Elephas maximus indicus: one gene and its partners. The protein of the gene in region 1 interacts with the protein of each later gene in a biochemical or structural test. Links are inferred from orthologs where the notes say so. Each region holds a gene or a part of one and is shown on either strand. Other genes may lie near its edges.

Region 1 (7,981 bases):
AAAAATATGGAATTAGAGAAGAAAGGTAAAAATAATTTTAACATTCTTTGGATAAGCCAGTAGAGAGGGTAAGATAAAATCCAACAGAAAATAGCCTTGTTAACAGAAAAGAAAAGGTGTAAGAAAAGAAACATTTTTTCATTGAGATGTTACATAACACTACCCTTTGAACCAAAAACGGAGTCACTACTGAATATTACTACTATGCCCAGTATCAAGTGAATAAATCAAGGTTCTGGAGACAGCAGCTCCCTTGGAGAGGTTAATCCTAACACGCAAATTACTTGGGAATTATTTATTTTCATTTTAGTTTATAGGAAAAAAATTTATCTTCCTTTTCAGTCATATTCATCCACCCTCTCATAAAACAGGGGGAAGAAGGCAATAAAAGCCCCCAAAGCCTTATTTGCCACTTACCTCTCAATCGGGATGGGGGGAAAAAAACAAGGACAGACAATAGCCATTATATTCAGCTGACAATTCTTCATTTTGATACACTATTAACCTTACCATAAAGGGTGCGAAGACCAGTTGGCTAAAGTAGCCATTAGTTAAATAACAGTCCAGACACATATAATTTTTTTAGGAATAGCAGTTTTGAAAAAGTAATACAGCTTGATAGAATAAACTACTTATGATAAATTTCATCCTTGGTTACTGATTACAAACTGAATGTATGAATCTTTTAATTCAGAAGCATATGGCAGGTTATAAAATGAGAAGATTTGAGACCAAAATGATTCCCAGCATAGCATTTTCTTGGTGAAGTTATTACAATCTAAGGTCTGATAACCAGTTTGTACAGGCTCAGAAACTGGACTTTATCAGTAACCCAAAAGATGATCAATTAGCCTAAGTGACTAATTCACAGTCAGAAGAGACTAATTCATATTCAAAAGAGGCTAATGTAAAAACTAGCACACCAAATTAATTTACCACAAGGATATATCTTTACAGTGATCAGAACACCTGTCCTTTATTCAGAGCGCTCACACCCTTTTTCAGTATGAGTACTAGCCTGTGTTGGCTGAATGAGTAGCTGGTTTCATACAGAATCAGAGTAATCTGAAGTAGCTCATTTTGTGAGATATTTTATCCAGGACATATCTGGGCCTGATAAACACGCCTGCAGCAGAGGATACTTGGCTGGTGATTGTACTGCTCCTCTTCTAGATTCTCCATCTTTCTCCATTCAACATTTACCTCTCTGATTCTTTTTTGTTTTGTTACATTTTCTTTAGCTGTTGTTACTATCACTGACTAAATTGTATCAAGTTCCTGCTCCCATGTGCTGGGATGTTTAGCATTCTTCCACTGGGTCCTGCCTAATGAGAAGGCAGATTTATTTCTGTATCTTCAAGATCTTGAGTACTACCTCTGACACCCCTATGTGTCACCTATAATTTTAACAGAAATTACAAATAAGATCTTTGTACACAATATAAAAACTACAAAATCCAATTAAACACAAGTCAATACCAATACGGCAAAAATGTAAACATACTATTGTTTAAAACTAACCACTTAGAAAAAACAACTTTATGGGGGCTTGGATAAGGGCCTAGGTAGACTCATAAACTCACACAACTATTATAAAAAGATTCTATATCCACATAGTGCTTTATAAATCACAAAGTGCATTCTCACCCATAACATTTAATTCTCATAACCAGAACAATACTTAAATTCAAAGTTTCCAGGAAAGATACTTATGAAAAAGGATAAAGGAAATAATCCAAAATGTTAACTTTTCAAGTCATCAAAGTTTCCACTCACAATTTACAGATAATTTATTCAAAAATCTTTTCTCTAAAATTAGAAAATTAAGACTTTACAAAGCAGACATATATTCCTTCTCTCATAAAAGACAACATGTATTCCTGGGTCACAAATGTATTAAGGAAAGTATTTAAATGGGCCTTGTGAAACACATTGTTCTGAACTGAATGATAATTACTCAAAAAATTATGTAAAGTTATATAAAACTGGCGAAGTTAGGTTTTGGTGCATCCAGCAATTCCTTTCTATAGCCCTTGTACCATATACTTCTTCAGATGCTTGGACCACTTTAAAAAAACAAAACCAAATCCACTGCCTTCAAGTTGAATTCTGACTCATAGCGACCCAATAGGACAGAGTAGAATTGCCCCATATAGGGTTTCCAAGGCTGTAAATCTTTATGGAAGTACACTGGACATCTTCCTCCTACAGAGCAGCTAATGGGTTTCAACGGCCAACCTTTCATTTAGTAGCCGAGCATTTAACCACTGTGCCACCAGAATTCCTTTTAGAGCACTTTGGGGGAAAAAAAAAAAATATTGCCCTCGAGTGAATCCCAACTCACAGCAACCCTATAGGACATAGCAGAATGGCCCCATAGGGTTTCCAAGGAGCGCCAGGGGAATTCAAACTGTTGACCTTTTGGTTAGCAGCCACAGCTCTTAACCACCACACCACCAGGGTTTCCTTAGAGCACTCAGACCCCTTTAAAATCTGCTCCACCTAAAAACACATGCTATCAATGATTTACACCTTAATTTACATGCATAAACCCACGCAAAGATTTTAAGCCTAATCTCCAAATGTGAAAGGCGAAAATCATATTGTAATGAAATCCAGGCATTAGTTAACCTGGGAAGAGGCATTTTACAGTCTATGAAATACCACGTTGTGTATAATGCCTGACTGGTGTAAGGTCAATTCTTATTAAATGGTTATCCCATCGAGGTCCACTGACACATTAAGCAAAAAAAAAAAAAAAAAAGAGCTACACAGCACCACAATAAAGTTCACACCACAAAGCGTATCTTCTTATGTGCATTAGAAATCTTTTCTAAATGAAAATACAACATAAATGTAATAAATACATCAATATTTGAAAAAGAAAATCAAGAGTTCTTACCTTACTACATCATCAATGTTGTTCCTGTATACACCTTCAAGTCTTTCTGCAGGAAACCCCATAGCAATAATGTTTGGATAAATATCTGAGTATCTGAGTTAAGGAAATATCTGAAATATGCACAAACGCAAAATGCATATTTTAAAACAGTAGTTATAAAAAAGCAAGCTTTCCATACCATAGCTACATTAATATAAAGTCATCAAATGTATTTATTTACAAACCAGCATGTGTAATTAAGAAATATTGATAAATACATAAATGAAAAAAAAAAGTTGAAAATAAATTACTTGGCAAAATAATTTCAAAGTCCTGTACTTAGTACATTAAAAGTGCATCTAAGGTAAAATGTAACTTCATATTTACAGTATTTAGGCATACATACCAAAAACCTTAGACTTTGTAAATCACAGAACTAATATATTGAGTCAAAAACAAAAAAAATCTGCATATGCCTAAAAACACTTAATTTTACAACTTCTTTTTTTTAATTTTTCATGGTTAAAAAAGGCATCACAATGTAGAGAAAAGTAGATAAAATGAGAGTCAGGGGGTGAGATATAAGAGTTGACTATGTCTGTAACTAGTTGTGTCATTTGGACAAGTCATTTAACCTTTCTGGGACTCAACTTCACCTATGTAAGCAGCCCTGAGGCACAATGGTTGCTAACCAGAAGGTTGGCAATTCAAACCCACCCAGGAACTCTGCAGGAGAAAGACCTGGTGATCCGATCCCATAAAAATTACAGCCTAGAAAACTCTATGAGGCAGTTCTACTCTGTGACACAGAGTCACTATGAGTCAAAAATCAACCCAAGAGCATCTAACAACACATAATGGGAAGACTGAAAAAGACATCCACTAAAGTCTCTTCAAGCCCTTAGTGTCTATGACTTGATGACACTAAACTGAGGTAGTCAATGTAACCAATACTTTAAAAACAAAATCATTGCCGTCGAGTCAATTCGAATCATAGCAACCCTATAGAACAGAGTAGAACTGCACCATAGGATTTCCAAGGAGCTACTGGTGGATTCGAACTGCCAACTGCTTGGTTAGCAGTCAAGTTCTTAACTACTGCACCACAAGGGCTCCCTAATCAACACTTAGCATGCCCGTTATATTCACTTATTTTACACACTATACCCACCCAGTGCTGTCGAGTCGATTCCAACTCATAGCTTACACACTATAGATGACATAAAACAAACCTTTAGATCACCAAAGAAAATATACAAATGGCCAGTAAGCACATGAATAAATGCTCAACGCATTAGTCATCAGGAAAACACAAATCAAAACCACAATGAGATACCACTTCACTGCCACTAGGATGGCTAGCATGACTATTATCAAAAAACAGAAAATAACAAGTGCTGGTGAGGATGTGGAGAAATTGGAAGCCTCATTCATTGTCGATGCGGTTGTGAAATGCTGTGTTGGTGAGGATGTGGAGAAGTTGGAAGCCTCATTCATTGCCGACGGGGTTGTAAAATGGTGTAGCTACTGTGGAAAACAGTTTGGCAGTACCTCAATAAATTACATACAGAACTACTTTATGACCCACCAATTCCACTCTTAGGTATATGCCCAAAAGAATTGAAAGCAAAAATGCAAACAGTACTTATACATCAATGTTAATTGCAGTATTATTCACAGTAGCCAAAAGCTGGCAACAACCCAAGTGTCCATCAATACATGTGGTATACACATACAACAGAATCTTATTCAGTCATAAAGAGAAATGAAGTTCTGATACATGCTATGACATAGATGGACCTTGAAAACATAATGCTAAGTCAGACATAAAAGGACAAATATCGTATGATCCCACTTGTATGAAATATCCAGAAGATGCAAATGCACAGAGAACAAAGTTAATTCGTGATTACCAGAGACAGCTAAGAGGGAATAATGGGGTGGTGCTGGGGGGCTGGGGGTGGATTGCTTAAGGGGTACAGATTTTTGTCAAGGGTGATTTTAAAAAATTGGAAATGGATAGTGGTGATTGTTCTACAACATGGTGAATGCAATTAATGTCACTGAATTGCACATGTAAAAATGACTGAAATGGCAAATGTTTTGGCATACATATTTCACCACAATAAAAATTAAAAAAAAAAAAGACACTCAAATATCCAGCTGTAAAAAAAAAAAAAAAACAAGTTCTACACATTTTGTCCTTCACACCACTTTTTTTCTTGAGCTCCATCAATCCTCTGTAATCTCAATTTTCCAACACAGACCTTTCACTCCATTCAACCTAATTTGCGTAAAACTTCCCTTAAAGACCATTCCTACTCCTGGACCTATTCATTGTATATAATTCAAAATCACCTAATCTAGTGGCCTTCCTTAAGCTTTTTTCTTTTACTTGCCGCTTTCTTCACATTGACTTGATTTCAACATTAATCTCAATCCAAAAAATAATTACCAAATGACAATGATTTTTATATTACAATTTAAGAAAAGGCTGTATGTGCTTTATGAGTTCTATTTGTAAGATTAACCAGTTACCGTTGAGTCAATTCTGACTCACGGCAACCCCACAGTGTGTCAGAGTAAAACTATGCCCCATAGGGTTTTCAAAAGCTGATTTTTTTAGACTGCCAGGCCTTTCTTCTGAGATGAGTCACTTCCAATCTTTTTGTTAGCAGTCAAACGTGTTCACCTTTTGAACCACCCAGGGACTCTCTGTAAGATTACTGTGTGCTTACTGGAGTCCCCAAGTGGTACAAACAGTTAACAAGATCGGTGCTAACCAAAAGGCTAGGGGTTCAAGTCCACCCGGAGCTATCTCAGAAGAAAGGCCTAGCACTCTACTTCCAAAAAAATCAGCACTGAAAACAATATGGAAACTTGTATACCATGTTCACTACAGCACTTTCCACAGGAGCCAAAAGATGGAAACAACCAAACTGTCCATCAACAGACAAACAGAAAACAAAATGTGGTACATATATACAAAGGAGTATTACTCAGCTCAGGAGTAAAGAGAAATAAAGTCCTGATGCATATCAAACATGGCTGAACCTCAAAAACATGCTCAACGAAATAAATCAGTTGCAAAAGGACAAATACTGTGCCATCTCACTTACATGAAATAAGCATATACATAGAAGCCAACGTTTACTAGTGGTTACCAGAAGTGAAAGGGAAGGGGGGAGTTTCTGCTTAGGGGACACTGAGTTTATGTTACTAGTGGTGGAACGATTTGGAAAAGAATAGCGAGAATGGTTGCACAACTTGAAGAATGTAATCAGTGTCACTGAATTGTACACGTAGAAATTGTTGAGTTGGTGTATGTATTGTTACGTATATTTTCACCACAATTTTTAAAAAATGGAAGAACCAAAACCCTATGGAACACAGTTCCACATGGGGTCACCATGAGCTGGAATTGACTTGACGGCAAATGGTTCTTTTAACTGGTGAATGATTTTAAGATTCAGGATTTTTAGTGTTAAATAGATAACATGAATTAAAAATATCAATATGAACTCATGTTTGTAAAATTCTATATGTTCTAGGTCTTTTCAGAGAAATGGCCTATGAGCAAGGTCAGCCTAGCAGCAATAAGCACTCCTAGAATTCAAAGTTTCATCTGCTTGGAGAAATAGCTGATCCCAGGTCTGACTCAGGCAAGGTACAAAGTGAGCCTGGGATAACTTTCTGTGCCAAAGAGCAAGGAAGGCTCACAGAGATTAATGATCTTTGCCAAAAGGACACAGGAGCTGGCATGAAGGAGCTTCCATTAAAAACCAAACCCTTTGCTGTTGAGTTACAGAGACCCTGTAGGACAGAACTGTCACATACGGTCTCCAAGGCTTTAATTTTTACGGAAGCAGACTGCCACATCTTTCCCCTACAGAGGGGCCAGTGGGTTTGAATCACCAACCTTTCGGTTAGCAGCCAAGCACTTAACCACTGTGTCACCAAGGCTAGAAAGAGCTCCCAATGCCTAAAATTACGACAATTTAAGCAACAAAGAAAAAGATGAAATGATAGTAAATTTAAAAACCCATAATAAAATGAAAATCCCAGAATCTATAATGATACTCAAAACAGTTAAAAATACAAATCAAAACGAGAAGAAACCCTTTTCATTTATTACATTTTGAGTAGCTACTGGAATAACTCTTTACTCTGAAAACTGGTCAAGGGGAAGATTATTTATCCTGCTTTTCATGGAGGAACTATATTTCAGAGTAACCAAACAGCTCTACTTCATAAGGTAAAGCTCTACTATACAGAAGAGCACCAGTTAATAAATGTAAAAGGAAGGACAGAACTAGAAAAATCACATTTTGCAATCACTAATGTAATTACTGATGTAGGCAAGGATTAACAAATAACACTAAGCCAGTAGGTGAGTAGTTGATGAGGAACTGACCTTTCTTATTAAGCCAAATAGCATCACACAAAACACTTTCGAACATAAGGAGACAAACACAACTGAACAGTAGGCAGAAAAGACTATCATCACCCAATTTCAGTAGTCAATCTCAGCATCACCAAGTGAGTCAAGTACAGATTATGTAACTTCCAATGTGATCCAAAATAAAAGACACATCATCTACGATAGCCAAGTATCTTGAACCTAGATCCACCAAACCTTTATATATGAAATCTAACTTACAGGAAATATATGTGGAAGAACAATCTAAATGATATTATTAAGAAGTAAACTGGGCAGATTCGAAAGGCACCATATGGTCTATAGGATAAGGCTCTGTCTCTTCAATAAGTCAGTATTTCAAAAGATGGGTTGGGAGAGTCCAATGTCTAAAAAGACTTAAAGGTCCCTGCACCCAGGTGGCACAAGGTACGATACTGGTATGAATATTGTTTTGCAACAAACCAGACAAAAAGGACATTTTTAAGCCAACTAGACATATGTAGATAAAAAGGATATACAATAAGACATTAACACAAGCAATCTCTAGATGGTGGGAATGTATTTTTTTTCTTTCACATTTTTTGCCTGTTTTATATTTTTTATTTTTGCTATAGCGTACCTGGCACTGTTTCTATAATCAATTTTTTAACTTGTTCGCTTTATAACTATTTCCAAGTCTA
Region 2 (6,991 bases), on another chromosome or scaffold:
AACAGCATGTGCAAAGACAAAAAGAATGAATGGGACAAATGATACCAGTGTTTCCAAGGTATATTCTTGGAAAAAAAAGTCTAGGAAATTTTGGGTTATACAGGTTTCTTAGTTGCAGGACTTCTCTGAGCCCTCATATACTGTGAAACTTAAATAACAAGAGGGTTCTTTCCTAGGAAATCTTTCTGGAGATAAATGCTGGTATAGCTAGCTTTTAACCTACTTCAGCCTAGGGCACACTGGGTGAGGACTCAGTTCCTCTAGATCCACTAGTCTAGACCCTCCCATCTACTTTCACCTATATCAACAGTCAGCCTCTGGCTGATCCACAGCAATCAAGTCACCCTAGTTGTCACATTGTATCTTTTGAACTATGAATGAGGCAGAGCTGGTGTCACTCCTTCACACTTCCCTATACCCACATACCTTCCCTGGGGGCAAGATGACACGACAGGCCATGTCCCAAGTCAGGGAGAACATGACAGGCATGAAGTGGGATACAAAAGGCTTGTGGCGGCCACCCTCCTCCTTGCTGAGGATGTAAACCTGTAGGAGAGCAATGAAGGTGCAGCTGGACTTGACTAGAAGCACTGCTTCCATGCAGGGGACAGTGTGGCTTAGCCCTGCCCACCATCAGCTGGAGCCCTCACCTGGGCCTCCACCTTCTGGTGGGGCTGGATGGAACCTGGCTTAGCCATGACCAGGCCACGCCTCAGGTCCTCACGCTTCAAGCCTCGGAGCAGGGCTCCAAGATTATCGCCTGCCTCTGCCCTTTCCAGGCTCTTGTGGAACATCTCAATGCCTAGAAAAGAAGAAAGGAGGCAAAAGGGACAAGGAGGAGTACCTGGGTTAGAGGAGAAAGCACGAGGAATTCACAAGGTGAAAGGTCAGCTCCTGGGTCCCAAGGCTTCCTATACCTGTCACCACAGTGCGAATGTTCTTGTTATGTCCCAGGAACTCACACTCGTCTCCCTTTTTCAAAATGCCACGCTCCAGCGTACCTGTTACCACCGTGCCCCGGCCTGAAAAGGAGCCGGAAAGGACATCAGGGACGCTCGGCTAAGCTATTGCTGGGGTAGAGGGTACAAACAAGCATGGTCTGGTCCTCACCAGGGACAGAGTAAATAGATTCTACAGGCATGAGGAAAGGCTTCTCCAGGTCTCGAATGGGCACTGGGATGTAAGTGTCCACAGCATCCAGCAACTTCTGCACTGACTTTAGGCCTAGCTCAGGGTCACGTTGCTGTGAAGGGAATTGACAGGACTCTTAAAAATCCACTCTGCTCCTCTTACCAAGCATCACTCTCTGGACTCAGAGCAGAGCTCTGCCTGCCCATCCAGCCTCATCCTCTGCCAGCAGCCCCCTACTGTCCCTATCCTCACCTCAAGGGCACAGAGAGCAGAGCCTACAATAACTGGGGCCTCCTCCCCTTTGTAGCCAAACTCAGTGAGCAGTTCCCGGATTTCCAGCTCAACTAGCTCCACCGTCTCAGAGTCCTGGACAGCATCTGCCTTGTTCACATACACCACAATGTACTCTACCCCGATCTGTAGATGGAGAAAGATAACAAGGGATGGTGTCCAGAGTGGCCCAACGGCCACTCTTCCCCTTTGCACCCCACCTGAGCTCTTGAGTACCTGTTTGGCCAGTAATAAGTGCTCTCGGGTCTGGGGCATGGGGCCGTCATCGGCTGCCACCACCAGGATACAGCCATCGAGGGGAGCGGCGCCTGTGATCATATTCTGGGTTGGGGGAGGAGAGGAAACACTCAGCCAAGTTCAGTGGCCTCCTCGGCTCCATATCCATCTGACCAAGCACAGCAATTGAGAACTGAGGCTCACATTTCCCTTCCATCTCCTCACCCCCCAACTTTGAGTCATCATGGCCACAAATCCATAGTCTCAAATACCTACATCTCAGTATCATAACCTTCTCTCCTTATGCCCACCATTTATCCTGACAGAAGGCAGCTCCTGGTCCTCTCCCCAGAGGTCCTCAGTAACTCTCTCACCTTAATGTAATCTGCGTGGCCTGGGCAGTCTGTGTGGGCATAGTGGCGGGCGGCAGTGCTATACTCCACATGGGCTGCGTTGATTGTGATACCCCGAGCTCGCTCTTCCGGAGCATTGTCAATCTCTTCATACTTCTTAAACTTGGCCCCGCCGCCCTCCTCTAGAACTGGAGGGAAGAGACACACCTCTCAGCTAAACTTCCAAGGCTACGGGCAGGGCTCAGGCCACACCCCTGAGCCCCTCCCACCTAAACGAATGAGTCTGGGAGGATAAAAATTCTGTAATCCCTCTCCCTCCAATCTCCGATTTCTCCAGCAGAGCTAACTTTGCATCAGAAAGGGCTATTACAGTCCTCAAGGTCCAGCCCTGCGAATTCTCCAGGGGGAGGCAGTTCAGGGTCCCCCAATTCATGCATCAAAAAGTTCTTCAGGTTAAAGGGAAATCTGCATCTTCCACTCTACCGCCTGCCCGAGTTCTGGTTCCCAAGGCCACACGAAACACGTCCAGCAGCCGCTCAGGGGCCCAGTTTCCTGGCTCCAGGTCCTGTCTCTAGATCGGGCACTACCGGACGCCCCCAGCCCATGCCCGCTCACTCTTGGTGATGGCCGCTGTCAGCGTGGTCTTGCCGTGGTCCACATGGCCGATGGTACCCACGTTCACATGGGGCCTATCGCGGACATAGACCTTCTTGGCCTCCACTGCCAAGCCTCGACACAAGAGGGGCAGTGCCGGGGCCTTTGGCGGCCACAACAGGCCCTGCAGTAGTGAAGTCGGGCCGGCGCCGAGACCTGCGGGACAGAGGCTTGGAGTCAGGACGCGGATTCGAGCCCGGCCACCCCCGGAGCACCCTACGGGTCCCCAGGCTGCCACCGCCCTCCCTGCCCCCTCACCGCAGAAGCGGGGCGTCGCGCGCAGCAGGGTCGTGGCCGCCATTATGGTGGTGCAGGCGCCCCGCGTACCGCGTAGCGGCAACCCGCGCGTGCAACAGCCAAAGGACACTTACTGCTGAAGTCACTTCCGGCGGAAGTGAGGGCCGAGAAGGCGAGTCCGGGCGCCTCTAGCCACCAGTTTCCACTGCTTTCTCCGCCGACTTCCGGACACAAGGCAGAGGACGTCGGGAAAAGTGCAGGTGTCTCCGGGAGGGGAAGGGTGGAGGTTTCCGCGATGCGATCGGGTCTAGCCGCCTGACGGGCTATGTTCTTTTCTCAGGTGGCACCGGTGGGCCTTGCATTTTCCAAGGCGGAGGGTTTAGGGTGGAAGTCAGGTAGGTCCGCGCCGGGTCCAGAGGGTGTAGAGGCGGCCTGGGTGCGGACTACTCAAGAAAGTCCCGGGCCCGGCGCAGAGAGGTCCCGGATCCCCTGGATTCCGACCCACTGCGCGGTTCTCGCGGCCTTCGAGCCGCAATGGAGGTAGGACCAGGTCCTGGACGCCTTTCGGGGCAGGGGCTCCAGTGTGACCCATCTCTCCGCTGAGCCTTTGTTTTCTTATCTGTAAAATGGGAATAATAGTATCCATTTAATAGGGAGATTCTGACATCTGGACCTGAGAGGAAATGAGCTACGCTGAAGTCAGGGATGGGGTCTTGGGACTTCCAGCTGGAACAGTCCCTGCCCCTCAAATATCTGTCCCCACCGCACCCCCGGTTCTGTACTGGCTGACCTCATAGGGTCGGAGTCCTAAGACAAGGCTCTGTCGTCTACTCCTGTAGCCCCTTCTGCGGCCCAGGGGGAAATTCCCTTGTCTCTCTCCTCCCCCACCCCCGCCCCCACCTCATTTTACAGATAACATCGAGGATGAGGGACCAGCCTGAATCTTGTTCCTGGAAGTGTCCCTAGCACCCAACATAGGGCAGGGCACATAGTGAGTGCTCAATAAATGTCTGTTGACTGACTGACTGACTGAAAGAGTAGTAAATAACCTTTAGCTCTCACATCCATCATCTCATCGCAGCATCCGACATCAGCCTGAAATAATAAAACCAAAAAACCAAACCCACTGCTGTCGAGTCTATTCTGACTCGTAGCAACCCTGATCCTGATTAACGTTTCCAAAACTTACCCGAACCTACGACTCAATAGACAGCACTTGTTTCAAATCGATTCCCTGATTGCTCCCTTGGAGATTATGATTCAGTGGAGTCTGGGCACAGGGTGTAACAAACACCTTGCCCTCCTCCTTCAGCTGAAAGGAGTTTGGGAAAGGAGTCTGAACTAGAGCTTTTTATGTATCAAACGTTGTGCAAATGTTCTATATTGATTCACAATCAGTGTTCCCAGTGTTACCTGATGTGTGGTCAGATCTGTTATTTTCCCCATTTTACAGGTGAGAAAACTGAGAATCAGGGAGATGAAGATTAACCCCCCCAAACCTCAAAAGCCCTAAAAACATGTGCTCTTAAGCACTGCACTGTACTATTATTTAATACATTAAATTATGTATTATTTTACAGATTGCTCAGATAAAGTGAGGAACTTGCGTCTTTCTGGCCCTCCAACCCATCATTTCTGCCTAAAAAGGGCTGGTATAAGTATGGAAATGTTTTCTTTGTCTTTTCTGTGCCCCTCAGTCACTCCGCTCCTGGGAATTTATCCTGAAATACTATCAGCCACTGGTGGGGGTGGGAGTTTTTTTGGGTGACATATGAACTAATGGTTTCTATGCTAGTGGTACTGTATTTATTTATTACTTTTTAGCAACTTTAATGAAGTGTAACTTACAGTAAATGGCACATATTGTCCAATTTGGTACGTTTTGACGTGTTTTTGAGCCACAAAACCATCACAACAATCAAAATAATGAACATGTCTATCACTCTCCCCCAAACATTTCCTCATGATGCACTGTAATCCCTCTCTCAGCCCCCGATTTCTCACCCCCACACCAGCCCTCAGGCAACCTCTGCTATGTTTTCTGTCATTGTCTATGTATGTTATTTCTATCATAAGTGTATTTACTGATTGATTTTTTTAAATATTGAGTTTTCAGTGAAGGTTCACCTAGCACTTTAGGCTCCCATTCAACAATTTCTACACAAGTGGTTCAGTGATACGTAAATGACTGAGGTTTGAGAAACAGTGCTAAGAAGAGGGTCCAAAGGAAGAAAAACTTTTGTGGCGCTGTTGAGTGTAGCATATTCTGTAATAGTAAATCGATCAGTCAGGAATCTTGATTTACAGATAATTTACATTGACTGGTTTAAGCAGGGGAGGGATTTATTAGAGAGTATTGGGCAGCTTACAGATTTGTGGGGAGGACTAGAGAGATACTCCCAAGCCATAGGACTGACAAATAAGAAAACTGCTGCTGCTGTCACTGCCACCAAACACGAAGTGCCAGGACTTAGACTTGTCTGCAGCAGCTATTGCTGGAAACACTGAAGCCATGTTTGCATCATCAAAGTGATCATCCCTCTGCCCCCAAAGCCAGGCAAATTCAAAGTCTCACATGGATATGTCTGATAGAAGAAGCCTAGATCATATGTCAAGGTTCTTGTATCAGAGGAGGCTGAGATGTAGTCTTTGATATTGGAGAGGCAGGGCTGATTGCAAGGAATTTCTCCAAATGTAGAAAGTCTAAAAGATGCCCACCATACCGTTACTGAACATTTTGATCAAAGATTCTATAGAAGAATCCTGAACAAAAGGGAGGAAATGCAGGACAGATTTCACATTCTCATGGAATCCAGACTTTCTGGAGTCATGGAGGCTGGATGAACCCCTGACATTATTGCCCTGAGATCTTTAAACCTTAAACCAAAAATATCCCCTGAAATATTCTTTAAACCAAACATTAGTTCAGCTTATTTAGTAAAGAATATCTGCCTTCAGCATTTTGCTCTTTTAAGAACTGTCTACATAGAATCAAATTGACAACAGTAATTTGAAAGATAGGAAACTCAGGGGGCAGTGAGTTTGTTAATGGGGAGGAACAATTCAGAAAAGGAGGCTGAGAATGGTTATACACCTTGAAAAATGTGATCAGTCACTGAATTGTACATGGAGAAATTGTTGAATTGGTTTATGTTCTGCTGTATATATTCTCAACAACAATAAAAAGATGTCCAGCCCACATGAACCACGGCCTCTTCTAGCCTGAGACCAGAAGAACTAGATAGTGCCCAACTACCACTACAGACCATTCCGACCAGGGACACAATAGAAGGTGCCTGATAGAATGGGGGAAAAATGTAGAACAAAATTCAAATTCCCAAAAAAGGCCAGACTTACTGAATCTATAGTGATGAGAGGAACCCCTGAGACTATCACCCTAAGATACCCTTTGAACTTGAAACTGAATCAATTTTTGCTGGGCACCTTTCAGCCAAATAATACATTGGCTTATTAAATAAAGAATATCACCCATGAGTAATGTGCTGCCTTAAACAATTAACCCTATGAGACCAAATGGTCAACATTTACCAAAAAGCAAAGATGAGAAGGCAAGGAGGGGAAGAGAAGCTAGATCAATGGAAACAGAACAAACAGAAGGGAGATAATGAGGTTGCTGACACTTTGTGAAAATTGTAACCACACAGAACAATAAGTATAAAAATTGTTAAAGGGGAACCTCGTTTGCTGTGTAGTCTTTCACTTAAAACATAATAAAACATTATTTAAGAAAAAAAAAGTCCAGCCACACCTGTCACAAATATTGTAGTCAAAGAGTGGGATAGACACGAATGTCCAGTATGTGAATATGGTGGCATGAACTGTGGCATAGCCACTAGGTGAGATATTAATGGGGTAGGCTCAGTGTTGCAGAGATGGGGGAGCCAGCCACCTGTGAAAATGTTTGTGACCAATGTTACGGAGCAAGGAAGAAGGAAGGAGCTACTCCATGGGAACCTACTACAGAAAAATAGCCTGCGTACAAGGTCGGGGGTGAAGGGGTAGGAACAAAGGAAGTTGAAAACAATGTGACTTTAGAAGGCTGTGAATTTGCTTGGAGGAGGAGATTTTTCATATTTTGTGTGACTGGA
Region 3 (7,010 bases), on another chromosome or scaffold:
TCAAGTTTTTAATCATGGGATACACACTGTGTGGGAGCAAACTAATATTTACCAAGAACCTCTTCTGTTGGATTCTTTTCTACTTATAGCCCTTTTAATTCTCACAAACTAACCAAAGGCCCTAAGTAGATAAAAAAGGCCAAAACCCCAGGTCTCTGGACTTCCAGTCCTGCCCTTTCCACATCTCTGTGACTGTTCTACTTAACACCAAGGTAATGTGATTTATTTTATAAAAACAAAAACCAAAAAAGACATTAACAGATTGGAAATGCACAAGTATTTTTTAAGACTGTTATGTGTTTTCTGGCCTGTCCCACCGATTGAGACCAACAGCACATCCTGCTGCCATCTGACCCATAAAGCACTGGTCGTCTTCCCTGACGGCTATCCAGGCCACCAATCAGGCCCAGCAAGTGTTCTGAAAAGCGGAAAGCCTGTCCAGTTGCATCCTGATTCTAACTCAACACACTGACTCTTCCAATGCTACTTACTCCTTGCCTGCCAAACCCTCAAGAGAATACTAAAGGTGAATGAACTAAGATTTCTGAACAAGAAGCTAACGGTCTAGTGGTAGAATACAGGTATACAGGAGTAACTACAATACAGTCACACTTGTCCTGTATGTCAGGGATGGTTAGGACTTCTCTGTAAGGGCAAGATATTCCAGGGCAGAGACAGACTGTGCCAGGCAGAAAAGTTCAGGAGCTGGTAAGTTAAAGAACACTAAACATCTAAAACTCTAAAGCCAGATAGGACATCACAAGTCAGAAGTGCTCCCATGCCTCCCCCTTTTTTAAATTTACCTATCTGGCAAGAAAAGCTGTTCTGGATCGTAGCCCATGATAAGGCAATGAACAGCTCATTGTTTTAGTTTCTATCAGAAGAGATTTGAAACACATCATGCCAAATTTTCAAGCCACGATCTTGATTTCACCTATAAGTAAAACCTGTGTTACAGCAAGGAGAATAGCATGTTACTCTGGACTTAAAAATGCTAGGTAACAGGCCAGATGCTCTACATGCTTGGCAGTTCACCACGTGACTCTCACAACCACTGGAGAAAGAATCACTATCCTTTTTAAAATTAGTTAATTCCAGAAAATCACTTACGGTGACATAAGTCTCAAAGCTGTGATTCCACCCATTTAGTTCTAAATCTTCTACCAATCAAAAATATGGACACGTATTTACTGTATGCATACATATTGGAAACCCTGCTGGCCTAGTGTTTAAGAGCTATGGCTGCTAACCAAAAGGTCTGCAGTTCAAATCCACCAGGCACTCCTTGGAAACCCTATGGGGCAGTTCTACTCCATCCTATAGGGTCAGTATGAGTCGGAATGGACTTGACGGCAGTGGGTCTCGCTTAGGGTTTTTTTTTTTTTTACATATTTTTTAAAATACCCACCATGTGTTAAGCAATGTTTATAACCAAAGAATAAACTAGTCATCTGTTCTCACGGAACTTTAAGTATAACTGTTTAGGGACAAATATCATAAAATACCATAGTAATTACCAAACAGTTTTTTGTGGGTTGGTGAGGGAGATGTCAATACCAAAGTGAGCTATAGATTTAACAGTGAAAAATCACTGGATTACAGTATTCCAGGTAGGAGGCACGGCAAGTACAAAGGATCTGAGGCTGGAAGTACAGGTCTGGAGTGGGAATCCCAAGAGACAGGGCTTTTGTTTGTAAAAGTATAGGAGGGGATCAATTAAGTCTACTAAGCTTCTCTTCAAAGGAAATCAAATTGTTAAAAGGTCTTAAGAACTATATTGTTTCATTTCCCAATAAAGGGAGTAGTACTTCAATTGTCTACCAGGAGATGAGAACGATTCTGTCTCTTTACTTACCCTTCTTTCTGAGTTCTGGTTTCCCTTTCTTGACGGTAGCCATCACCATGTCACCCACACCAGCAGCAGGAAGCCTGTTCAGTCGCCCCTTGATCCCCTTCACAGAGATGATATACAGATTTTTGGCTCCTATAAAAGAATGTAAACAAAAATCCCATTTTTTCAGGGCCTATGTAACATTTTCCTAACACCCAGTTCAAAGCCTCTCCACCCGTTCACACAGCAGTTAGTCCCCAAGGTGGAACACCTTGTCACACCACCGATTGAAGCAAAACAACACAAGATATTGCCGCTTCACCCAAAAGCAGTGTTTTTATTCTGCCCTTTCTTGACGGCTCAGTGGGTCACTGGCAAAAGCCCCAATGAGTGCTTTTAAAAGGGGGAGTGCAACAAGGCGTGCTTAAGCTCTCACCTGTGTTATCAGCACAGTTGATCACAGCTCCTACCGGAAGACCCAACGAAATCCGGAATTTTGCACCGGAGGACCCACCACGTCCTGTGAATAGGAAGGGAAAGGAACCAGGAGAAAGATAACTGAGAAGACACGGTTCAGACTTAGGCTCACACTCTCCCGTTTTAGGTTCGCCCGCGCAAGTACACTATAGGTTGGCTCTCTCTAGCCCCCTCCCCATGTGCCACCTGTTCTCATGGCAAATAATCGATTCCTCACTAACACTTTTAATCAATTTTAGAGGGCCTGGACAACTGAATCTTTGCTCCAACCTTTGCACCACACAGTCCCTTCAGTAAGACGGGAGACTCCACAGGTCGCCCCATCTGGGAATCACGATCGTCGAACTTTAGCCTCATTACTTCAGCGCTACGAGCGTCGTGACCATCGCGCTAGGTTTGGTCTAGAATCAGGTCGGGATCCTACTTAGGTCAACGCTCCACAACGCCCTCCCCTGCCCCCGAGCCACTTTCGGGGGCCCTCCCCAGCGCTCTCGCGGGGCCCCGCCTCTCTCTCCGGCCCGAGGAGAGCGGAGTGCCCCAGCTGCCCAGGGCCGTCATTACTGGCGACGCCAGCAGTCACTGTGCGACAGATGGCGGAAGATTGGGAAAAGACGAATCCTCACCTCGCTTCGACATCTTGGACGCCGGAAAAAGACAGAAAGGAAGTAGATACAAAGGACACTGGGATATGAACTTTAAGGTCCCACCCACTCTCCTGTCACGTGAACCGGAGCTTGTTAGGCCCGCCTCTTTCCCCAGGGCGCTGCCTTATTACGTAATAAGTCCTGGACCTGCGACTAAGCCTCCCTGGGAAGTAGGGGGTGCAGGTTTTAAGAGCTGCGGAAGCTGTTGAGACCTGGTAGAGATCAACTCTACGAGTTCGAAAGTAGTTGGGAACGTAGAAACATTCTTAATTTATCCAACAACTCTTTTGCGAACTTTATATACGTCAGGCACTTCTCCAGACACTAGAGTGATTAAAAGGCTATATGTGCTGTGAATTAGGGCGTAGGAGGGGGAGAACTTTAAGCAGTTTCATTAGAAAGTGTTAAAATTGAGAAGTGCCATTGTAGCGCTCCAGCTCCATTCATTCTTCATACAGTGGCCAGGAATAATTTTTCAAAAATGTAACTATTACCATATTGCTTTCTTAAAATTCTGTTTCTATTGCTTCTAGAATAAAAATGAAAATACATTGCATGAACTCAAAAAATGGACCAAAGATCTAAATATAAGCTAAAATCATAAAACTGTTAGAAGAAAACATAAGGGTCAATCTTTATGACCTTGGATTTGGCAATGGATTCTTAGATAACACAATAACAGCAGAAACAAAAAGTAGACTTCACCAAAATTAAAAACTTGTACATCAAAGCACATTATCAAAAAGAAAAGACAAACCTAAAAAATAAAATGGTGGAAAAATATGCAAATCATATACTGATAAAGGTCTAGTGTCCAGAATATATAAAGAACTTTCATAACTCAACAACAAAAAGACAACCCAATTCAAAAATGGGCAAAAAAAAAAAAAGCAAAGGAAGACATATATATAATTTTACCTCGATACACTACCCTGCCTACCCCTATCACCTATTTCACATCCTCTCATTTTTGAAATCTCAGTTTAAATGTCACTTTTTTTAGAAAACCTGCCCTGATCCTTATACTAGCTCAGGTTCCCCTGTTATAAGCTCTCTTAAAAACAACAACAACAAAAAAAAAAACCTGTTGCTGTCGAGTTGATTCCAACTCATAGTGACCCTGTAGGACAGAGAACTGTCCCATACAATTTCCAAAGGGCGCCTGATAAATTCAAACTGCCGATCTTTTGGTTAACCGCCGTAGCTCTTAACCGCTTCACCATCAGGGTTTCCAAGCTCTTAGTACCCTATATTTTTTCTTCATATCATCTATTACAATTCTTAAATATGTATTCGGTGATTATTTATTTAATGACTCCCCCACTAAGTTTATAAGCTCCATAAGGGCAGGATCCACGTCTTTTTTGGTCAACAGCCTTTCCCCAGTTCTTAGCGTAGGGCCTGGCCTCGCTCAATAAATTTATGTTGAATGATTGCTTAATAAATGGAGAGGTCTACCTCAATGGTCTCCATACATCGGCATCCTTCTAAGAAGTTTTCACTTTTATTTGGGATTATGGTTTTTTTTGGTGTTAAAAATGTTCCAGTCTTCCTCTCCAGCCCAGACATCTCTGCTTAGCTCTAGACACATATTTTCAATTGTTGATTGGGACATCTCCACTGCTCAGGCACTTCAGACGTACCATGACCAAAACAGGAAGAATCATTTTCTCCCAAAATTTGCTCTTTTGCCTGTATTAGCTTTCTTGGTTGGTGCTACCACTACTGTTCAGAAACCTAGGACATGACTGGTTGTCCTCTTCTCGTTTTCTCCCCCTAGGCTCCCAGAGCTAGTCTCCACGGGTGTTTACTTGACTCTACTTCCTGAATTTTTCTGTCCATGACTCCCAATCTGCCCTCGGTTCAGGCTCTCATGTGAACTATCGCAACTGCCTCTGAAAGGTCTGACCATAACCTCCCCTGGCTTAAAACCCTGTGCTGGCCCTCCAGTGCTTGGGGAAAAAAGTCCAAGCTCCTTAGCATAGCACTGGAGTCTGTTCAGGAACTGGTCTGTCTGTCTCTCCAGCCTCATCTTCCATTCTGCCTCTCACACTTCATACTCTAGCAACCCCCAACTGCCTAGGATTTCTGGACACATTCTTCTGCTTCACACCTCCTTGTATCTGTGCGTGCTCTTTTCTGCTTTACCCACTATGAGTTTTTCAACACTTTGCTCAAATGTCACCTCTTCCCTTTGCCATCTCACAAACCCAGCATTCTCTCCCCCAGAACCACCTCTTAGATCAGCGGTTCTCAAATATTTTGACCTTAAAAACACTTAACACTCTTAAATTATTGAGGGCCGCAAAGAATTTTGGTTTATATGGGTTCTATCTATCGACATTTACTGAATTAGAGTTTAAAATTGAGGAATGCTTAAACGTTTATTTATTAATTGAAGATAACAATAATCCTGTTAATCTAAATAACATTTTTGAGTGAAAATAATATTTTTCTAAACAAAAATAATTTAGTGAGAAGAGTGGCATTGCTTTATATATTCGAGGAATCCCTTTAACGTCTGGCTTAATGAAAAACAGCTGGATTTTCATATCTGTTTCTACAGTTAATTTGTTGCAATATCACCCTTCACGTAGAAGTACCACTGTATACTCATGAAAGAATGAAACAGGCAAATAATGGGTGAGTATTATTATGAAAATAGCTCCTTTTTCCTGGAAGACTCACTAAAATAGTCTCGAGATACCTGAGGGTTCTCAGACCACACTTGAGATACCAGTGATTTAGAGGATGAATGAAATGTTAGAGATACCACACTGTACAGTAATTTATTTGGTTGTATGTTGATCTGATGTTAGAAGGTGAAGCTCAGGAGGATAAGGCATTTTTATTCCTTTCTGTATTCCCAGAGTGTTTGAAACAGAATACTTGCTCAGTTGTATACACCTGGGCGATGGAGAAGTTTGTTTCCTGGATTGGAGGATCTTTTGGGGGTTTTTTTGGTTGTAAAATTGTCAGCGGGGTAAGCAGCGCTAACTTTTCTCTGTTCCCAGAATTTCTAGTTGGTTCTGCCTTAAACTGCGTTCACTCAATATCTTCCATTGTCTTCCATTTTGTTCATTTGAGGATGACTAACCAAAAGCAAACCAAACCCCCAAACCAAATCAAATTTCAACTCATAGCGACCCTATAAAACAGACTAAAACTGCCCCCATTGCGTTGCCCAGGCTGTAAATCTTTACCGAAACCACGGACCTGTCACCTGGCAGCCGAGCGCTCAACTGCTGCACTGCCAGGGCTCACTTTGAGGGTAGATAAGATACGTAGTCTTTTATAAAACTTGAAGCTTTAGGGGGCACCCGGATTTGAACCGGGGACCTCTTGATCTGCAGTCAAATGCTCTACCCCTGAGCTATACCCCCTCTGCTGGAAAGCGTTAGATTACAGCTTAATTGTCATGTCTCCTGAACGGACAGTGCCTCTGGTAATTGATAGCAGCTTAATACAAGTAGCCCTGGTGGCCAAGTGGTTAGAAATTTGGCTACTAACCAAAAGGCTGGCGGTTCAAAGCCACCAGCCGCTCCTTGGGAACCCTGATCTAAGAGGCCGCTTGGTCAGAATCGACTCAACAGCAACGGTTTTGTTTCGATTTTTGGCTATAATTAACTACTTCAGGTTTCCCAGGGCCAGAAAAAAGAGCGGATGATGCTGGAGGGGGGAAAAAAAAATCACAGAGGCTGTTACGCTTTTGTCACTAAACAATCTGGGCCCAAATGGTGGGAAAGTAGGGAGAAGTCGCTTCTGACCCAGGCTTAAAGGTCCGTGCCATGTGCAATGGAGTGTCTCTCCGCCATCACTACAGCCTTTTCTACTCTGGCACCTGGGAATTCTTTAAGTCTACTTTCCATCCTCTCTGCATGTAACCTGATCTACACTGAATCCCCAACCCAGTGATTTGCACACAAGAGGAAGTGTTTCTCTCGCTTTTCCTAAGACCACCTCTGCTCCCATCCCAGACTTGCCCCCATTGTCTCTATTCTCCCCGGTATCTTCAATCACCACTCCACCTCTTTCCAGTGTCAACAGGTTCCTAGATT
Region 4 (7,831 bases), on another chromosome or scaffold:
TCCATGGGGGGTTCGAACTGCCAACCTTTAGGTTAGAAGTTGAGAGCAAGCCACCATTTGCGTCACTCAGGGAACTTTCAATGTTGGCTAGTCTCTGTAATGATGGAATGCCATTCATTCCTCTCCGTGTGGGGAAACAGAAGCCTAGGGCAGGGGGACAGTTCATTCTCCGGTACACAGCCCACTTAGGGAGCAAAGGGAACAGTGTGTCCTCATCAGAAGGAACACCACATCTGACTCATTGTTCCCAGGAGACACAGAGGCCACAGAAAGAAAGAAAGGCCACACGGTGAGTCTGTAGTAAAGCACGGACAGGGACCCGAAGTTCCAGCTCCCTGTGGGGATGCCAATCCTGCAGCCTCTTAGATGGGTAGGGAGGCTGGGCATAGTCAACACCAACAACATTAGCCCCTGCTTCACCTTCCACCCCTTTAGCCCACCCTCCAAAATTCTGCAGTGGCCCCGCCAACCACTAGGCTGAAAGTCAGACTTCTCTCTGGGGCCCACAAAGCCTTAACGCCCGACCTGAATTCTCACCAGAGTTATACCCCGCCATAAGCCCTCTCATGCTCCAGCCATTCTTTTGTTTCTGTTCATACACACCAAGCTCCTTCCAGCCTTCCTGCTTTGGCACATGCTGTTCCCTCTGCCTTGAACACTGTTCCCCCTCACACCTCACACCACTAGCACTGCATCGTGCGTGGCCTCTCAGGTCTCAGTTGAAATGTGTCTTCCCCAGAGAAGCCTGACTCTACCTAAACAAGGATCTCTATCCACTTAACCCATTATTCCTTACATCTCGTTGATCACAATTCTCAGAATTTGATATTATGACTTCATTTGCGGTTTCCTTGGTGTTTGCTGGTGAGCTCGATGAGGGCAGGGCTCATAGTAGGTGCTCAACTAATTTCTGTTGCATGGCTAGACAGTTGGAGGAACAGGGCTGCCTGGTAGTCAGAGGCCCCATCCTAAACTTGCTGTGTGTCCTCAAGCAGGTTCTGACCCTCTCTGGATGTTAGGACCCAGTGCGTCCAGTGGGTTCTACTGTTCTTATAATCCTTGAGCCATTTGTGTGCACCAAAAGGCCACACTCCAGTTCCCTATGGTCACTGGGCACTGAGAAGAGGACAGAGGTGGGTGAGAGGTGGGAAAGCAGTTCCCTCCCTGTGCCTCTTCTGGCCCCCTGACTGTAGATACAAGCATCTACCTGGACGAGGGGTGAATTGGTGAAAAGGTAGTGAGGTGAGGGTCAGAAGTCCTGCATTCCAGGCCTCTGTTTCTCCACTAATCTCAGACAAGTCCCCTCCACTCTTAGGGCCTCAGTTTCCATGCTTGTACAATAGACACATTCTTAGGGCCCCTCTGGCCCTGACATCCAAAATGATTGCTTCGATGCCTGGGATGTGTGTGCTGCTTCCTCACCTCCTGATGGGGGAGCCTGGGGAGGGGCCAACAGCTGGGAGCGTGGGAGAGCCAGATGTGGTGGCCGCTGGCCCTGCCTGAGTGAGTGCTGAGCTGGCCTACTGGGAATTCTCCCACTCAGGCTCCCTTTCCGGGCACCCCCCTCCTTCTCCCTCCACCCCACTGAGCACTACGGCTTCCGGCTCAAACAAGCGTGGGTGAGGGTCTTAGGAGAGGAGTCAGTTGAGCCTGGTTCCCTCCTTTAGGGAAGATCAGGGGGCCGAGAGTCTAGACAAAAGCCTTGCTTCCAGTCCCAGTGCTGCCGGGGACACACCGGAAAGCCTTGCCCAAGTAGCTTTCCATCCTTGGGCCTCAGTCACCTGGGCTGTAAAATGAGCGGGTTGGAGAGCTTCCTCCAGCCCTGACTGTGGACTTGTGAGACAGCAGCTCCTGGTGACCCCTGACAACTAGTGGTCTCGGGTGGAGCTTTCTTACTCTGCTCTGCTCCCTGCACAAAACACCTTCTGTGAACCATTTTTTCAGGCTTCTCAACCACCCCTTGAAGTGGGCACATTTATCCCTTTTTACAGTTGAAGAAACTGAGGCTCAGAGAGCTCAGATAATATACTTTGTCCAGGGTCACACAGCTAGGAAGTGGCAAAGCTGGCTTGAAACTGCCAACCCCAGAGCCCAGGCTCTTAACCCTTGAGCAGTACCACTAGTTCTTTGGGGAGGTGGTAGTGAACCCGAAGGCCCAGAGCTCTTCTCTCCCTCTGCACCCCCTTCCAGTCCACCTCAGGCAGGGCTCTCCAAGGTCCATGTTCTGCCCACCCACTTTGAGCCCAGGATGGCCCGAGGCCATGAGCAGGGGAGGACTGGGCGCCCAGCATTTGGACGGGTGGGAGAATGCTCGTGACATGCTGTTCATGGTGAACACCTCAGCATGTCAGTGTTGCGTTGCCCACATGACACCCACCCAGCCCCTCAGAGTGCACAAGGAGAAACTGAGGCCCAAAGGAGGAAGGGCTCTGCCCAGAGCACACAGTGATGGGACGCAGCTTGAATGAGGGGAACTCACTATTTCGATTACATTCTAGGCACTGTACTAAGCCCTTTACATACATTACAAATTCACAATAATTTCACGAGTTAGCCCTCTTATTATCCATCCCCATTCTCCAAAAGAGGAAACAAATGTACAGGAGTTTAAGTGACTTGTCCAAAGTCATGCAACTTAGAAGTGGAGAACCTGGGATTTGAACGCAGCTCTGCCTTTTTTTCTGCCTCTGGCTCTAGAACTTTCCCTGTCAATCTCCACCCTTTTGTCCCAACTGTCCAGCCCTCAGTGAGTGCCCTGTGGTGCTCTCTGTGGCTCAGTACCCACCCCTATCTCAGCTGAGAGGAGCCATGACAGCCTGGTGCCCACCAAGGGTTAATGGTGGTAGGGGCTAAGTGCTTCCAGATGGGCCAGCCGGATGGCTGCGCTGGCCGGAAACTGGCTGCCGCCAGTGTCCCTGGGGAGCCACCACCAGCCGCCCCCTCCCCTCTGTACTGCATCGCTGGCCCCCAGCTGTCCCCCTGCCCTGGGGCCCCCCAGCCTCCTCTATTTAGCCAGGGTCCAGCTCTAAGGGGAACTGCAGACAGACCATCCTAAGGGCCTTCCAGCACAGTGAGTCCACCCTTGTTAGGTACAGATCGAGAAACTGAGGCTCAGGGAGGCCAAGGGACCTAACCAAGGTCACTCAATAGGTCTGAGACTAGGTATCCTGATTCCAGACCAGCTTTTCTGGGAAGAAGGGAGTCGAAAAGCTCCATTGCTCCATTGCTCCCTCTGAGCTCTCCTGGCCCCAGCAGTTGGGCCAAATTTTCAGAGGCGCATGGCCAGCAAATGCTAGGAGTGGAGCTGTAAATTCCTGGTGAAGTCTTTGGGCACAAGCAGTCCCTATGATGCCTGACCCTGTGGCCTCTGGGGTTCTCTCACATGAATCTGCTGCCACCAAGCCCTGCTCCAGGCTCTCTCTCTTGGGACATTTTCACAGTCCCCGTCATGTGCCTGGGCCAGTCTGTGGATCCTTCTTCCTCTATGCAGCCCAGCCCAGATGCCCAACTGGGGAATCCCTTTTGCAACAAGACCAAGAAATGGTTTCAAGATAGATTACTGCAGTTGGCCTGGAATTCCAGCTCAAGCAACTTCCCTGTCCATGAACAGTGATCTGGGGTGGGGGTGGGGAGGAGAAGGGGGTAGACAAAAGTACAGAGTACATAGTGGAAGTTGCTCTGGGCATAGGCAGGCTGTACCTGTGGACCTGGGACACATTTCTTCCTCTCTCTGGTCCTCAGGTCCCCCACGTGTATAGTAGTGGAGGCACAGGTTGGCTTAGCTTAACTCTAAGCCCTTTTCAAATAATGCCCCTTGGCATCGAAGGGCTAGGAGTCTGCCATCTTCTGAGCTGAGGAGGTAAATATGGAAGATGAGTGTGGGGGATGAAAAGCCCAATGTGGAGACCAGGAGCAGACCCTGGTGAGGAAGGAAGGCAGGAGAATGGAACATACCAGCTACTCAAAAATACTTGTTGAGTGACTGAATAAATAGAGACAAGGAAAGAGGTAACCTAGGAAGAAGGCAGGGCAGGAGGGCTGGTCTACACTGGAATATGGGTGTTGGGTCAGAGTCAGATGACCTGTGAAACTTTGATCATGTAACTTATGAAACCCAACTCTGCTCCAGCTCTGCCATTGCTGTGTGAGCTTGGGCAACTCATTTCTCTCCTCTGGGCCTCAGTTTCCTCACCTACAAAAGGGGCAAATAATCCTTCCCTGGTACCCCAGGGGCTCTGAGATGATAGAAAGAAACATGTCTGGAAATCTGGAGTGTGCTGGGTGACCTTGGGCAAACTGCTTTCCCTCTCTGTGCCAAGCCATGCCTGGGCCTTAGCTTCTCCTTCTGAAAGTAACAAATAACCCTGGAGAGTCTTTTCATCTCTTCTCTAATTTCCTCAATCATCAGTTAGGTGCCCTCTAAAATGCATCCCAGCTCCCTGTCCTCCCGTGGGGTACCTGTTTGCACATTGTCCGTCACTCCCACTAGTCTGAGCTTCCCTGAGGTCAGGGACTGTGTCTTACCACCGCACCCTGGAGCCTAGCACAGTGCCTAGCACATAGTCGATGCTCAGTAATGCTTGTTCAATGAATGAATGTTGACTGAATCAATCATAGAGATTATCAGAGCTCCCTTTACAGATGGGGAAACTGAGGCACAGAAGAGCCGCCCCCCCAGGTGCCATGGCAAGGAGAGGCCACTGGTGACAAACATCAAATGGGGACGGGCCACTTTTTAATAAAAGTGACTCAGCGACTGGCTGGCGTGGGCTTCGGAATTTCTAAACATCCCCTCACGTCCTGAGAGAGCGGGAGACGGGAGGGAGTAAGAAGAAGGAAAAGAGGAAGAAAAACAAGAAACTTGGGGAAAAGAAAGAGAGGGGGGAAAAAAGTGAAATTGAAAACAGACGCACGCGTCCACCCTCCCTGCTCTGCCGCCCCCCTTCTCCCAGCTAGGCCAATCAGAAGCCGTCTTGCGGCCTTTCCCCCAAAGTGGAGGGGGCGGTGGAAGCAGGGAAGCCCACGGTGGTGTGAGCTCCTGGGGCTGCCAGCCGCCCAGCAGTCCCTACCCGCCCTGTCTGGGATCCGGGATCGCTCCGTGAGCAGCTCAGAGAGGAGGAGGACGCCGAGGAAGAGGAAGCCTGGCCCCTCAGAGCAGCCGCGGAACTGAAGCCCGTGCCCTGCGACCCAGCCAGCCAGACCCAGGGCGGCCCCTCCTGGCAGCTTGACTCCTACGGAAGGATGCTTTGGGAGTGAGGCGAAGCTGGGCTGCTCTTTACCGCTGCAGCCCCCCACTCTCTTGTTCCCCGAGGCTCTGGTCTACAGCCACCCTTCTTGCCCCCCTACCCAGCCACTGGCAGTCTGGAGTCCAGCAAAGTCTCCAGATAACTGGGAGAGGGCAGTGAGGAGGACTTCCTGGAGGGGGTGGCAGCCCAGAGCCTGGGACTGTGCTAACATTAGAAGACACCGCAGCAAGGTAAGTGCCGGGAGAGGGAGGACCCTAGCCCCTTGCCCTGTCCCCTTGTCCCAGCCTGAGCCTCAAAAAAATGAAAACTATTTTTAACAAAACCATATGGGAGGAGGCCTGGAGGCGGAAGACAATGTCAGGGCTGGAGGAGCTGTTTTTCTCCTTTCCTCTGCTCAGGCCGCTTCTGGAGGGGGGTGGTCCCTGCCTTCCCAACTGTGCTGCCCTTCCCCAGTTAAACAAACCCCAGAGGTTTCTTGGTGCCAAGTGGGGGCCTTCAAAGCACAATGGTGTCTACAAGAGGTGGGGAGAGCTGGGAGGGGCGAGAAAGTGGAACTGGGGGATGGCATGTAGGGTACATGGAAAGGGGACCTAGCAGGGGACTAGGGACCTCAGGGCCACTGCCCCTGCCCCCAGGCCTAAGCCTTGGCTCTAGGCCAGTCAGCCACCAGGCAACCTCTGGGGATTTAAATGGATTTGCAAATTTTCCAGATTCCTAACATGTCCTTCCAAACCCCCAGTGACTGGGAAAGTTCGAGAATGAAGGGGACCGGGGACCGTGGCTGGGGGCAGGCTCAACCTAGCAGTCTTGCAGCTGGGGCTGAGGGTCTGGGACCAGGCTGTCAGATCTGGGGGCCTCCTGTAAAGAGGGGGTTAGCCAGCTGGACTCTTTCCTTGGGTCCCAAGTGACTGCTCGGGCCTCCTTGCTGTCTCCCCGTTTCAGGGCTTGGCTTCTTTTCCATTCCATTCTAAAATATAAATCTGGTGAGGCGACCTTCCTGCTCAAAATCTTTCTGTGGCTCCTCAGTACCTGTAGAAAACCCCGGCTTCTAACAACGGCTGCCACTGATTGACACTTACTGCACGCCAGGCACTGTGCTGAGTGCTTTATGAGAGTGATCTCATTTAACGGTAACCAGCAGACCCAGAAGCAGGGACTGCTTTTCCCTTCCCTTTACCCACAGGGAAACTGAGGCTCATGGTAGCCACATAACTACAGCCACACAGCTAGTAAGTGGCAGACCTTGGAAAGGTACTGACCCTCCACCCCCGTTACTGCAAACTTGGGCCTTTTGTTCCTTCAGTCAAATCTCAGACATCCCAGAAGGAATTTGCATGATCCTGCCTGTGAGCCTTTGCCTTCCCCATTCTCCTGCCTGAAATGTCTTTCCTTATCACCTCCACTTTTCCTTCAAGGATCCTCCCTAGTCCTGCCTCCTCCAGGCAGCCTTCCTGGGCCCTTCCAGTCCTCAGAGCTTGCTCCCTCCTCTGAGCTCCCAGGCCACTGCTGCGCACTACATGCTGGGACCTTGTTGCTTGGCCTTCTCTTCCTGTTTGTGTTCTGTCCATCCACATGACAGAGAGTGTTCAGGCCCCAGGCCTCCTCATCTATGTTCTGTCCCCACTGCCCAGCCCTGGGCAGGCAGTAGGGTTGAGAAAATGTGCTGGTGAAAAGGAGGAGAAACTGGCCAGAACTCAAGCCTCCTGCTTTCCTTCACATGCCCTTCCAGGCCATCAAGGGCTCCTCTAGATCACATTTCCCTATTTCAAATGGGGGTGGGGGGTGGGGGTGTGGGGGAGTCCCTGCCTACTTCTGTGATCCCTGAGCACACAGGTCTCCAGTGAGAACTGCAGAGGTCAGGCAGGCCTCTCCTGCCTCCAATAGGAGCACCCTGACCCATAGCATTCATGGATGTGACCACTGCACTGATCACCATCATAGAGCCTTTGCCCCATGCCGGGCACAGAGGCTGGTACCTCACACACTTTGTAATACTCAGCGGCTCTTTGACATCAGTATTGGGAGTACTCCTATTTTACAGATGAGGAAACTGAGGCTTAGAGGGGCTAAAGTGACTTGCCCAGGGTCACACAGCTAGTAGAGTTGGTATTTGAGCCATAGTCTGCCCGAATACAAAGTCTTAACCCCCACCCTACCAGGGAGCCGCTGGTCAGAAGGGGGAGAGTTCCCATTCTCTCCAAGGGCTGGACCCTGGCGTCAGCATCTTCCCCCACAGAAAGTTTAACCTCAGGCCTGATTGGCTTCAAGGTCTGCCCAGGCCCTGGCTTGGTCTTGAATGGGGAAGGGGACCATCTGTTTGGCATCCTCCTTTCAGAACAGTGGTTACTGCTTGAACATGGTTATCAGGCAGCCTCCCTCCTCTGGGGGTGGCAGCTGTTTCTGTGGGAAGAAGAGTTGGGACTTGTAATTGCCCACAGATGTGGGACAATGGAAAGCACCGTGGATTCAGCATCACGAGATCCGGTACTGGTCCTGGCTCCACTCCACTCACATTCGCTGTGTGGCCAGCCTCAACCTCTGTGCCCTCTCTGGGCTGCTCCCTCATCTGAGAGGCAGTGGATACT

The links.
Region 2: the proteins of PTEN (region 1) and TUFM form a complex in vitro, tested with the Homo sapiens proteins (2 studies listed by BioGRID). The link is inferred for Elephas maximus indicus from reciprocal best matches to the Homo sapiens genes PTEN and TUFM.
Region 3: the proteins of PTEN (region 1) and RPL23 form a complex in vitro, tested with the Homo sapiens proteins (2 studies listed by BioGRID). The link is inferred for Elephas maximus indicus from reciprocal best matches to the Homo sapiens genes PTEN and RPL23.
Region 4: the proteins of PTEN (region 1) and PDGFRB form a complex in vitro, tested with the Homo sapiens proteins (2 studies listed by BioGRID and IntAct, with this or other methods). The link is inferred for Elephas maximus indicus from reciprocal best matches to the Homo sapiens genes PTEN and PDGFRB.

Annotation. Positions count from the first base shown.
Region 1 is NC_064834.1:38,515,041-38,523,021, reverse strand, and holds the start of PTEN (phosphatidylinositol 3,4,5-trisphosphate 3-phosphatase and dual-specificity protein phosphatase PTEN), read right to left. Parts: upstream 3,007-7,981; 5' UTR 2,988-3,006; coding exon of another isoform or gene 2,965-2,987; coding exon 2,903-2,964; intron 1-2,902. UniProt on the Homo sapiens protein: Dual-specificity protein phosphatase, dephosphorylating tyrosine-, serine- and threonine-phosphorylated proteins.
Region 2 is NC_064830.1:88,835,901-88,842,891, reverse strand, and holds the start of TUFM (elongation factor Tu, mitochondrial), read right to left. Parts: upstream 3,019-6,991; 5' UTR 2,947-3,018; coding exon 2,904-2,946; intron 2,802-2,903; coding exon 2,607-2,801; intron 2,180-2,606; coding exon 2,013-2,179; intron 1,744-2,012; coding exon 1,639-1,743; intron 1,549-1,638; coding exon 1,384-1,548; intron 1,244-1,383; coding exon 1,111-1,243; intron 1,023-1,110; coding exon 918-1,022; intron 803-917; coding exon 651-802; intron 547-650; coding exon 427-546; intron 1-426. UniProt on the Homo sapiens protein: GTP hydrolase that promotes the GTP-dependent binding of aminoacyl-tRNA to the A-site of ribosomes during protein biosynthesis. Also plays a role in the regulation of autophagy and innate immunity.
Region 3 is NC_064837.1:46,393,734-46,400,743, forward strand, and holds the start of RPL23 (60S ribosomal protein L23), read right to left. Parts: upstream 3,004-7,010; 5' UTR 2,945-3,003; coding exon 2,932-2,944; intron 2,352-2,931; coding exon 2,268-2,351; intron 2,238-2,267; exon of another isoform or gene 2,102-2,237; intron 1,985-2,101; coding exon 1,856-1,984; intron 1-1,855.
Region 4 is NC_064820.1:165,347,733-165,355,563, reverse strand, and holds the start of PDGFRB (platelet-derived growth factor receptor beta), read left to right. Parts: upstream 1-4,812; 5' UTR 4,813-5,476; intron 5,477-7,831. UniProt on the Homo sapiens protein: Tyrosine-protein kinase that acts as a cell-surface receptor for homodimeric PDGFB and PDGFD and for heterodimers formed by PDGFA and PDGFB, and plays an essential role in the regulation of embryonic development, cell proliferation, survival, differentiation, chemotaxis and migration.